Arabidopsis thaliana: one gene and its partner. The protein of the gene in region 1 interacts with the protein of each later gene in a pairwise test. Each region holds a gene or a part of one and is shown in the gene's direction. Other genes may lie near its edges. The genes, in order: AT4G20790 and SUB.

The links.
Region 2: the proteins of AT4G20790 (region 1) and SUB interact in a protein complementation assay, tested with the Arabidopsis thaliana proteins (2 studies listed by BioGRID).

What each region holds. Positions count from the first base shown.
Region 1 is NC_003075.7:11,133,998-11,138,151, reverse strand, and holds AT4G20790 (Leucine-rich repeat protein kinase family protein), read left to right. Parts: upstream 1-1,728; coding exon 1,729-2,986; intron 2,987-3,078; coding exon 3,079-3,377; downstream 3,378-4,154.
Region 2 is NC_003070.9:3,720,749-3,727,993, forward strand, and holds SUB (Leucine-rich repeat protein kinase family protein), read left to right. Parts: upstream 1-1,959; 5' UTR 1,960-2,386; coding exon 2,387-2,477; intron 2,478-2,820; exon of another isoform or gene 2,821-2,854; coding exon 2,855-2,984; intron 2,985-3,081; coding exon 3,082-3,153; intron 3,154-3,318; coding exon 3,319-3,384; intron 3,385-3,475; coding exon 3,476-3,547; intron 3,548-3,630; coding exon 3,631-3,702; intron 3,703-3,781; coding exon 3,782-3,853; intron 3,854-3,927; coding exon 3,928-3,993; intron 3,994-4,090; coding exon 4,091-4,156; intron 4,157-4,239; coding exon 4,240-4,733; intron 4,734-4,829; coding exon 4,830-5,188; intron 5,189-5,278; coding exon 5,279-5,550; intron 5,551-5,623; coding exon 5,624-5,762; intron 5,763-5,845; coding exon 5,846-5,961; intron 5,962-6,097; coding exon 6,098-6,254; intron 6,255-6,367; coding exon 6,368-6,430; 3' UTR 6,431-6,702; downstream 6,703-7,245. Other genes in the region: AT1G11145 (hypothetical protein (DUF674)), read right to left, coding at 6,784-6,888, 6,964-7,245. UniProt on the Arabidopsis thaliana protein: Regulates the expression of transcription factors that define the cell fates.

The sequences.
Region 1 (4,154 bases):
ATCTTCGCCGGAGAACTTGTTCAAGTGATTTGAAAGTCTGAATTTTTTCGCAGTTAATAGCCTTTCCTGGCCTAGTTTTATCAACCTTGAAATCCCACCAACCATTGGAGTAGCAAATCCACCGGCCGACCATGGAGACGCAGGATTCATCGTCCCCTGAAAAAACGAAAACAGAGTCATCGTCTCCATCGTTATTTGTTGGCCGTACACTCAATTTCATAAACTGTAAAGCTTCTTATGATAACTCATACCTTCCATCTCGACAGATTTTGACAATGTGTGTATGATTTTCGAAGTGACGAGGGTTTATCTTCTTTTGACAATGACGACTTCAGAGAAGATGTCGACGACGAGAGAAGTTTATGTTCAACGAGGGTTTAGGAGATAAGTTTATGTTTGGTTTCAATGTCTTGAGGACAAATGGGTTTGAGTTTTGTGATATTAGCCCATGACAAATCTTGAATTTTGAATGATATTGGGCTGGTTTGAATTTGGCCCATTAGTTTTCATCAAAACACAAGAGGGGTAAAACGGTCTTTGACTATTTGCTGTATTAGAGGAGGGCTGTATTAGAGAGGACAGAAGAAACTACCCTATCAGCCTATTTTTAAAAAAACTGTCTAGTTCTCAAATTATTTCCCTAAAAACTGCCTAGTTCTCAACTTATCTCAAATGACTATTCCTCTCACTTTTTGAGTTAGTGCTCATGGAAGTAGCATTTAGCTTCTGTTGAATTCACCTTTTAATGCGTTGCATTAGTGTAAAATTCTCTAACAATTAAGAAGCCTGAGTAAGTTTGCAATAAATTTTATTTTCTTTATCAAAAGTTTACCTTTTAGCTCCTGTTGAATTTCCATTTTTTTAAAGATTCATTAAGACAATAACTATTATTTTTATATATTTTTATTATTCTTAATTAAGAAAATACAAAAAATTATAAAATATGTTAATAACAAAATAATAAACAATACAACATAGGAAACTATACCAATTAAAGAAATTAAATGCATATAGATTAGATGAATAAAAATAGAAATGTAGAAAATTAAAAATTATATATATGATTCTATAAATCTAAATTTTAAATTAGGCATATTAATTTGGTAAAATTGCAGAAATATAAAGTTCATTGGATATAAAGTGAAACTATTGAAGATTTTATTGATAGTAGTTTATATAATTCAATTCAATTCTCAAACAAAAATTATATTTAACATTGAGCACATTTACCAAATAATTATCGACTCAAATTCACCCACGTAGATGTTTGTTGCGCAAGAAAGAGAAAAAGTTTAGAACAAGATAAATAGACCAAAGAGACAAGAAATATATGAAAGGAATTCGAGGCACAATCTTACAAATACAAGCAAAACCATTCTAGATAATTTTTTACCAACTGACATAAACACATTATTATGTGTTCAATGACAACGAAAATGATAATTAAACATTGAAATTTGTTTTCATAGTGGAGCTATTGTAAAAAGTGTAGATATTCACAAAATTTAAAAAACTTCACAATTATTATTATTTTAATAATCTTCAACTTCCAAGCACACGATCACTAAAAGGAAAATGGGCGCGTAAATCTCATCCCACTCTGTTTCAAAATAACCGCCAACAACAACAACACCTCCAATAACACAGAAACTACCTCTCTGCTTCTCTCTCTAATCTCACCCATACACGAAACCAAATAACGAAACCTATTTGCTCTCTATCTCTCCAATGGCGTCTTCTCTGTTCTTCATCTTCTTCCTCACGTCACTACTATCATCCTATCTTCCTCTCTCAGTATTCTCCGCAACCGTCGTCGAAGACCTCGCTAATCTAAGTCCACCTCCTGATTTCAACACCACTATTTCCAACAACTGTCTTCGTGATCCAATGCTCCGTTACTGCAACAACACTTCCTCTTCTCCAATGGACATTGTCGAGATTTTCAGATCCACAATCGTCGCTAGTCATCTCTGTAACGAGTCCAAAAACCCTAACTGCGTTGAATCTTTCCCTAGAATCAGAATTCACGGTCGTCCTAAAACCGCTGCTCTTTACCTCTCTTTCGATTTCTTCTGGAAGTACTGTCCTTTAACCGTCGTTGATATCGAGTTAGTGAATAACTCTCTAACGAATGGTTTTCCGACAAATGTTCTGTCTTGTGCTCAGATTCGTACTCTTGATCTGAGTTACAACCAATTCTCTGGTTTTGTTCCGGTTCAAGATCTCTCAGGCTTACCCAATCTGACCCATTTGAACCTATCGTATAACCGATTCTCCGAGAATAAGATCTCGGATTCTGAGTTCTTCAAACGGTTTAACGCCTCTAGTTTCATACAGTCCGGTGTTCTTCCCAACGTGAAGCGTTACAAGATGAAAGTTTTGGTCTTGTTGATTGTTTTTCCAATAATGGTGATTTTGCTCTGTTTTTGCTTTGGCTGGTTATGTGTCAAGAGACCTGATTACTTACCAAGAACATGCCGGAGAAGAAACAAGTTCACATTCGCGATGCTTGAAGCAGCAACGGATGAGTTTTCAGATCAACATCTTGTGAGCATGAGCAATACAGTGGATATCTACAAAGGAACGTTAAGAGACGGGACAGAGACGAAGATCGAGGTTTATAAAGAGAAGGTTTCGAGTGAGAAAAGGCGTGAATTCGCAGAGGTATGCGAGATGGTTTTTAAGTTACGACACAAGAACTTGGTAAGAGTGTTGGGTTGGTGTAATAGTAGAAACATGAGAGCTTTGGTTACAGAATGGATTCAAGGTGAAAATGTTGAGACTTGGTTAAGTTCGTCAATGGCTTTATCATGGAGAAGAAGGTTAAGAGTAGTTCTAGGAGTTGTAGAAGGTATTTGTTATCTATCAGATCAATGGCCAGAGATTACATTTGATCTCACCACAAGCAGTGTTTTGTTATCCGATGATAATCAAGAACCTTTGATTTCTCATTTCAAGATTGGAGATAGAAACAACTTGTCAACAAGTAAGGCTTCATCTTCTTCTTGCAAAAATCAAAACCTTTTTAAGGCTATAAAAGCTAAGTCTGTTGTTGTTGTTGTTGTTGTGTTATTACAGATATATTCAACTTTGGATTGTTTTTTGTGGAGATGATTACAAATCTAAGACCTGATTTGGGACAAGAAGATTCAGAAAGAAGGTATCTTGAGTATATAAGAGTTCATTATCCGGATAATCTAGAGAGAGTGATTGATGAGAAGATGAAGATTGAGGGGAGAACATTTGATCAAGTTAAGCAAGCCATTACGCTAGGACTGATGTGTACTGATATAATACCACCATTAAAGCAACCAAGCTTGACGCAGATTTATGACTTGGTGAGTTCATTGTATGAGTCTAGTTCACGACATCATTGAAATACCTTGTAAAGCTTTATTGGTTTCTTTTGATTTTCAGACATCTGGTGTTAGATAGTATTGTAAGGATTAAAGACATATTTGTGTGTTTTTTCTTTGATTACTATAAGTACTGAGAGAATTTGCAGAAAATGAGTACTTAATTTGCAGACATGAAATCTGTAAATGGGCTTCATTTCTGCAAATGGGCTTTATTAGCTGAAATGGGTTTCATAGTTTTATGGGTTCTCAAATGACCCGACCCGGGTTGGAAGATATAGAAACTATACACTGGTTGGCAAATGGGAACGTTCGATTAAAAATTCGGTAACTACTACGACGTGACTTGTCTCTTCTCCGTTGAAAAGCCATCGACAGTTATGTATGAGTGTATCATTTATCAACTTGAAAGCAATTTCAGTTTTTAAAATAATCCAAATACTAATAAACCAGAAATTAACCCATCATCAAAGCATTAATAATCTTCATTACCATTTGAAACCGAAACTTGTATCACAATTAAATAACGATCATAAAATTAGACGTTTTTTTTTCTCTATCTCCATTTTCCCGGGGGAAAAAAGATCGGATTTTTGTTCTAATGTCATTGTCAAAATATTATTCGACAGATCACAAAAAAGGTGACCGTTTTTTTTTTTTTTTTTTTTTGGCAAAAAAAAAGGTGACCTTTTTATTTTGACATTGATAGTATGAATTATGGGGTCTGATGCTAGAAGTTCTTACATGGCGGGCCAGACAAAGTCAATGCCGGCAACAACGGACTCCTACACATAAATT
Region 2 (7,245 bases), on another chromosome or scaffold:
TTTGAGTGTATCATACTTGTGTATATTGGAAAATGAAAATGGAACGAGACAATTCAATAGTTCTGATCAATTTAATATTTTCAAAACGATCAAGTGCATAACAGCAAATTGTATCCAAGTATCGTCTAACAAATTCTTTTAAGTTCTTTTTTTGACTTTTCATAATCTATAGAACTTTTTCTTTGAAGCTTCTTGATGTAAAATGGTAGGGCGGAAAAAGCTAGGGTGATGTAAAACCAAAACTTGAACCAAAATTCGTGTAGATACGTAACTAGATTTGATTTAAATAAATAAAACATTCGTTATGTGCCTTGGATCCTCTGGCTAACGGGTGACCATAAAGTAGTGTTGCATTCTTTAATTTTGTTTCGCCTTTTGCGTAATGAGAGACCATATTATAAAATAAAGCCTAACTTTACAATATCTGTATTTTTTCCTCGACACTCTTTTTTAAGAGACCAATAGTTTGAATTCATTATCATGCATCTTCCAATCTCATAACTAATTTGGTATGCATGTATAAGTGCTACAATCATTATTATATGGGGTTTCTGATTTTTTGAAGTACAAGAATCAAAATGAATCCAACCTGATTGGTGTAGTTTTGGGTCGAGTTCGGTCGAAACAAAAATTTGATTCGGTATTATTTATTTGATTTTGGTTCGGTTTATTATGGTTGGCACTTGGCATATTGGTTTTGAAAAAAAAAAATGTTATCATGTACGATTTTTTTTGGGTGCAAAAAAGCATCATGTACGATAGTTTTCTACTTTTCTTCAAAGATTGAAAGTAACCGTTGCAATCTCATTGCATTATTAGGCCTACGAGAGGTATCTTCTTTCAAGTGGGCTTTACCATTACACTATTGACCAAGTTTGGGCCACATTTGGTTTGAATAGCCCATAAGAATGTGGTTTTTTTTTTTTAACTAGTCGCAACTTATTATCGTGTATGGTGTGAACTTGATTGATTTTGACAAGCCAAAAAAATCGATTGATAATTAATTGATCTCGACAAAATAAAAATCTAATATCAACACATAAGCTCACCAAGCATGTTTTATTCTTTATTGATCATACAATGTATGTTTGCTGTTATTATTCGGGTTGCAAATAATTTATGTGAATATCAGAACTTCAGAAGTAACTCCTACCAAAAAAGGAACTTGAGAAGTAATCACATATGAATATCGAAGTTACTCTCATCTCAAATTATGCAATGATGGCATTCCATTAAATTACTACTATTGAATTGTACACAAATCCTCCATCACATCAACCAACAAACAAAGAATAATACAAATTAAGAATATATTCCAAAGAAATTGATAAATAGTGATTGTTAGTTGTAACTGTAAACACAAAACCAGAATTCTTAATTATTAATAGAAAAACAAAGGTTTCGAATGGTAACCAAAATGCACCGTGCAATCATACATATAACATTAGTTAGTTATTTTTAGAATATATTGAAAAGATAATTATTGTATAATTACTAAGTATATTCAATTTAAAGTCGTAAGAAAAAACCCTTTATTGGCTCTAATTGTTTAAAAACATATATTAGGATTCACTAAGATGTATAATTGAAATCAATTTCCAAACCATGTAAAAGTACTAGTTTTCTCAAATAGTTTGTTGCTATTAGTTTGTTACTAAAACTAATTCACACATTTTTATCACCAAAAGAGCAAAAATGGACGTGGGATGAATATGATGATATTTTTTTTGACCTTGTTGTAGGGTCTCTCACTCTCTTCTTCCATTAAAGAATTCTCAGAGCTTTTCTTACTTCAACTGTTTTCTTGGCCCATCTCACTGAAATAAGTGTGATAAACTCTGCCTGTTACATTATTTGGATTTTAATAGGTGAAGTAACGGAATATGTAATCTACATCAAAATAATATTCACTTCTATCTCTCTACCTTATGGCATTAGAAAAATCCAATTATTACATGAAAGGAAACTATAGTAATTAGATGAAGCATAGAAGCGACAATTAAAAGACATAAAGAGAGACAAGTCTTGGCAAGTTTTCTCTGTTTCACACTTTGGAGACGAAACCTTAAAGGCTTAAAACTGAGAAAAACAAAGCCGTTGGCTTTTGTAAGCCGCTCGTTCTTCGAGACAAAACACACTACACTCTTTCTCTCTCACTCACTCTTCATCTCTTTTCTTCTTTCTCTCTCTCCTAAAAATCCGACGAAATTATGATTCACTTTACCTTTTAATCAGGAATATCCCTGTTTCACCCTTCTTCTTCTTCTTCTTCTTCTTCTTCCTCGTGTTTTTTTTCCATAACATTCCCTCTGAATCTTCGTTTTTTATTGGAAAGAAACAATCTAATCCAAGTTCAAGGGTTTTCTCATCTTCAGTGGCTGAAGTTATGAGCTTTACAAGATGGGAAGTGTTCTTTGGTCTCTCTGTTTTAGCCTTGACAATGCCTTTCTCAGCTGGAGTTACTAATCTACGAGATGGTAATAATCTTTCTCTGCAAAGTTTTTTTTATTTGGATTTTGCTTTGACTCTCCTTCTTTTGGTTTAGTGAACACTCTAGATTTTTTTTAGACTTGTGTCTAGTGAAAATGACTTACATCAGTTTTAGGGTAAACTAGGTAAGCAATATAGCTGTTTGGGAAGCTCCAGATTGGCAAAGTTCTATGATTTTGAGGCTACCTCAAAAACCCTAAAAAGTTTAGGTTTTTGACACATAAGCTCTTGTTAGGGTTTTAGTTCAAGACCAAGAAATTTGTTCTTATTGTTCTTCATTAAATGGTTATCATAAGAAAGATTCTTTAATCTCTAGAAATTTTACTTTTTGATGTGTTTGTCTGTTGTTTAATAACTTCTGCAGTTTCGGCGATTAATAACTTGTATATCACTTTGGGAGCACCATCTCTACATCATTGGCTTGCTTTTGGAGGAGACCCTTGTGGAGAAAAGTGGCAAGGTGTGGTGTGTGACTCCTCAAACATCACAGAAATGTATACTTCCTCTTCTGCTCTTGTAACTCTTTGTTATGGTTTGCTTTGAGTCACCAATTCAGGTTCTAACCACGTGAATTATTGTTGTTGGCTGCAGAAGGATACCTGGCATGAAGGTAGGTGGAGGCTTAAGTGATACTCTGGCTGATTTTTCATCTATCCAAGTCATGTAAGCAAAGCTTCTTGTCTTGTTTTCTTTCATCTTCATCTTTTGTATGAGGCTTCTTGCTATGTGAAGAACATGCAAGATGTTGTTACCATTGACTATAAGGTTTGGTTATAATCTTGAATTGCTTTGTGATACTTTTTCTCTCTTCTTTGTTTGAGTGGACAGGGACTTCAGTAGCAATCATATTTCAGGGACAATTCCGCAGGCTTTGCCTTCTTCCATCCGAAACCTGTGCGTTTGAGAATTGACTATGTGTATGGCAATACTTATGTTTCCAACAGTTAAAAGACACTTCATGTTTGGTTTCATTTTCTTGTTTCAGATCTCTCTCAAGCAATCGCTTCACTGGGAACATTCCCTTTACATTGTCCTTTCTATCCGATTTGTCTGAACTGTAAGTCTTTATTAATGTAGATACCGTTTCTTGCATCTGCGGTTTTTCCTCTGTTTGAAGCAGACTCTTTCTTTTCCCTTCAGGTCATTGGGAAGCAATCTTCTATCAGGAGAGATACCAGATTACTTTCAGCAGCTATCAAAACTGACAAAACTGTATATTTCCTCCTCACTAAGTCTCATTTTGTATCCTCCCATCAGCGTCTTTCATTTATACATTAAGTTTCTAATGCAGGGACTTATCGTCTAACATACTGGAGGGGCATTTACCTTCTTCCATGGGAGACTTAGCTTCTCTTAAGATATTGTAAGTGCACATATATGAAACCGTATACAAACATTGTTATCATTGCTTTTATATGTGATGTGGTCGGACTGTAGGTATTTGCAGGACAACAAGCTCACAGGAACACTTGATGTTATAGAGGATCTTTTCTTAACCGATTTGTAATCGTTTTTCACCTTGCATACTCTTTGTTCTTGACTCTCCAACCATTAAGCCAACTTCAGTATCTCACTATGGCTTTTCATATTTTTGATTCAGGAATGTAGAAAACAACTTATTCTCGGGACCTATACCGCCAAATCTATTGAAAATTCCAAACTTCAAGTAAGTATTACTAAAAGAAAACTTGAATGTTTTTTTTTTCCTTTTCTTTAGCCATTCATGTTACATTGTCATTATAACCGCAGAAAAGATGGAACTCCGTTCAATACATCGATTATAACACCACCGCCTCCGCCTGTGGTTGATCCTCCTCCCGCTACTCACCGTGCTCCTCCTGTTCCCCGTATCCCTCCTGTTTCTGGTGTTCCCCCAGCACCTTTTGCTCCTTTTGCTCCACTGCAACCACAACAACATCCACCACCATCACCACCTCTGGTCTGGTCACCACCTTCTTCTGATAATGGAGGAGGAGATCCCTGGAACTCTGTGTCAGGGCAACCTACCTTGCAAATATCACCTCCTTCAGGTTCAGGATCAGGAAAATTCTGGTCCACTCAAAGAATCATTCTAGTAGTTTCTTCAGTGGCCATAATTGTTCTTGTATCCGGTTTGTGTGTTACACTTTGGAGATGTTGCAGAAGTAAAATATATAACCGATATTACAGTGGAGCTCGTAAAGATTTACAACGACCATACTTCAATAAGCCTCCATCTCAACCAACCCCCACTATGGGAAAAGGTACACTGATTCTTTTCCTTCCAAGAAAAGAAAAGAAACTTGTGCTTTGGCTCATTACCTAACGGCAAACTGCTGTGGTGTTTTCTTTTGTTGCAGTTTCTCGGGAGCCTATGGTTAAGCCTTTCGATGGATATGGAGCTGGAGACAGGAAATATGGGTATCCAATGCCACAGCGGGCTGAAGAGAGCCGGAGAGCAATGCCTCCTACTTCATATTATAATAAGGATGTTAATACACCTCAAAAGCCGCTGCAACAACCACCGAGGCAGTTCCAGTCCAATGATACTGCTTCAAAGAGAGCGGCTCATTTCCCCCCGGGCTTGAATTCCTCATCTTCTGCTACTGTTTTCACCATTGCTTCACTTCAGCAATACACAAATAATTTCTCAGAAGAGAATATAATCGGGGAAGGGTCGATTGGTAATGTCTACAGAGCTGAGCTTCGTCATGGAAAGGTGTGACACTTTCCTCTTATTTGTCATTTGGTCTTACAGTATTTTATGCTGTGCATTCTTATTTACGTCTTGACACGTTGTGATCTATAGTTTCTTGCGGTGAAGAAGCTGAGCAATACCATCAACAGAACACAGAGTGACGGCGAATTCCTCAATCTAGTCTCCAATGTGTTGAAGCTTAAACGCGGTCATATATTGGAGCTTCTTGGTTACTGTAACGAGTTTGGTCAAAGGTTACTTGTGTATGAGTACTGTCCTAATGGATCACTTCAAGATGCACTACATTTGGATCGCAAGTTGCACAAGAAGCTCACTTGGAATGTACGTATAAATATTGCATTAGGAGCTTCAAAGGCATTGCAGTAAGTTAAAGAACCTCAACATGTTACGCCAATCTATATTTGGAACATATAGGATCTTAGAGTTTGGTTTCAGGTTTCTTCATGAGGTATGTCAACCGCCGGTTGTTCACCAGAATTTCAAGTCTTCCAAGGTTCTTCTTGATGGAAAGCTCTCAGTACGTGTTGCAGACAGCGGTTTGGCTTATATGTTACCACCACGCCCAACGAGTCAGGTAAATTTGTCATCTTATTTTGAAGATCCCAAACATAAGAGTGAGTGTTGTAAAGGATATGATGTTTGCTTATAAAATTGTAGATGGCGGGTTATGCCGCTCCTGAGGTTGAGTATGGAAGCTACACTTGTCAGAGCGACGTATTTAGCCTTGGGGTTGTAATGTTAGAACTGCTCACTGGACGCAGACCATTTGACAGGTTAGCTACTCTAAAGAGACAACTAATAGAAGCCATAAAAGAGTCTGAACTCAAAAGTCAACATGTTCACTTATGTTTCTTATGCAAAATCACTGTACTACACTATCTCAAGACAAAACCCTGTTTTTTTTTGCAGGACAAGGCCGAGGGGACATCAAACACTAGCTCAGTGGGCGATTCCTCGGCTTCATGACATCGATGCGTTGACAAGAATGGTTGATCCGTCATTACACGGAGCGTATCCAATGAAATCATTGTCACGTTTTGCAGATATCATATCACGTTCACTGCAGGTAAACTTAACTTCATTCATCACTTAACTAGATGAGAAAGCAATGTCAAACACGTGACATCAGAATATTAACTAACCCTTTTGACTTCTGTGCATGCTTATCTTTGTCTGTAGATGGAACCAGGATTTAGACCGCCGATATCAGAAATAGTCCAAGATCTTCAACATATGATCTAAGATACACAACCTTGGACTAAGACGCAGAAGCAATAGTTTATTGTCAGATTCTTGTTCTTTGTCCTTTGATGAATGAAAGTATTTCTTTTGTATTATAATAACACTTTATGTATGTTGTTGGCTGTATGAAATGAGCTATGGGATCATCATTATGTAACCCCAATCCCATTACCGGCTCAAACATTATTCACCAACCTGATCATGTATTTAGATTCTATTTTCTGAAAAGGATAAACATTTTTTGAATCAAAAGACATTAAAATTCAAGAACAAAAGGTTGTACTTAACAGTAGTGTAAAAGAGAAGGTAACTTGTTCAACTAGCACTGTAGACAACAAAACCTAAACTTCAAATCAATCTGCTCCACAGAGGGCATGTGATTGATGCTTTAGAGTCGTTTCTCTGAAAGAAAGCTCCCGAAAGCCGTAGTCAAGGCAGTGGATGTCACGAATGAGGCTCTTAGTAAACCTATGGCCTGGATTAGTGTCAGATTCAAAAAAAAATATCAGGAAAGAATAGTAATATAGATATACATGTGTTTTGCCAATGTTGATTTCATGCTCAAAAATATCGTCCAAGTTCACATCAAACTTCTTCTTTACGCAAATAGTAAGATCATCTGAGACAATGTATGTTGCCCCTCTCTTAACTAACCCATTGCTACCATGAGGTGTCGACTGAGAACTACCGTCACTGTTTAAATAACTGACCCCAAGCAACGGTTTCTGCAAACTATATTGCCAAGGAAGCATACATGTGTTAGTAGATGCATCTGTGCCTCCCCTAGAGCTCAAGTCCTTCAAGCTTCTACAAAA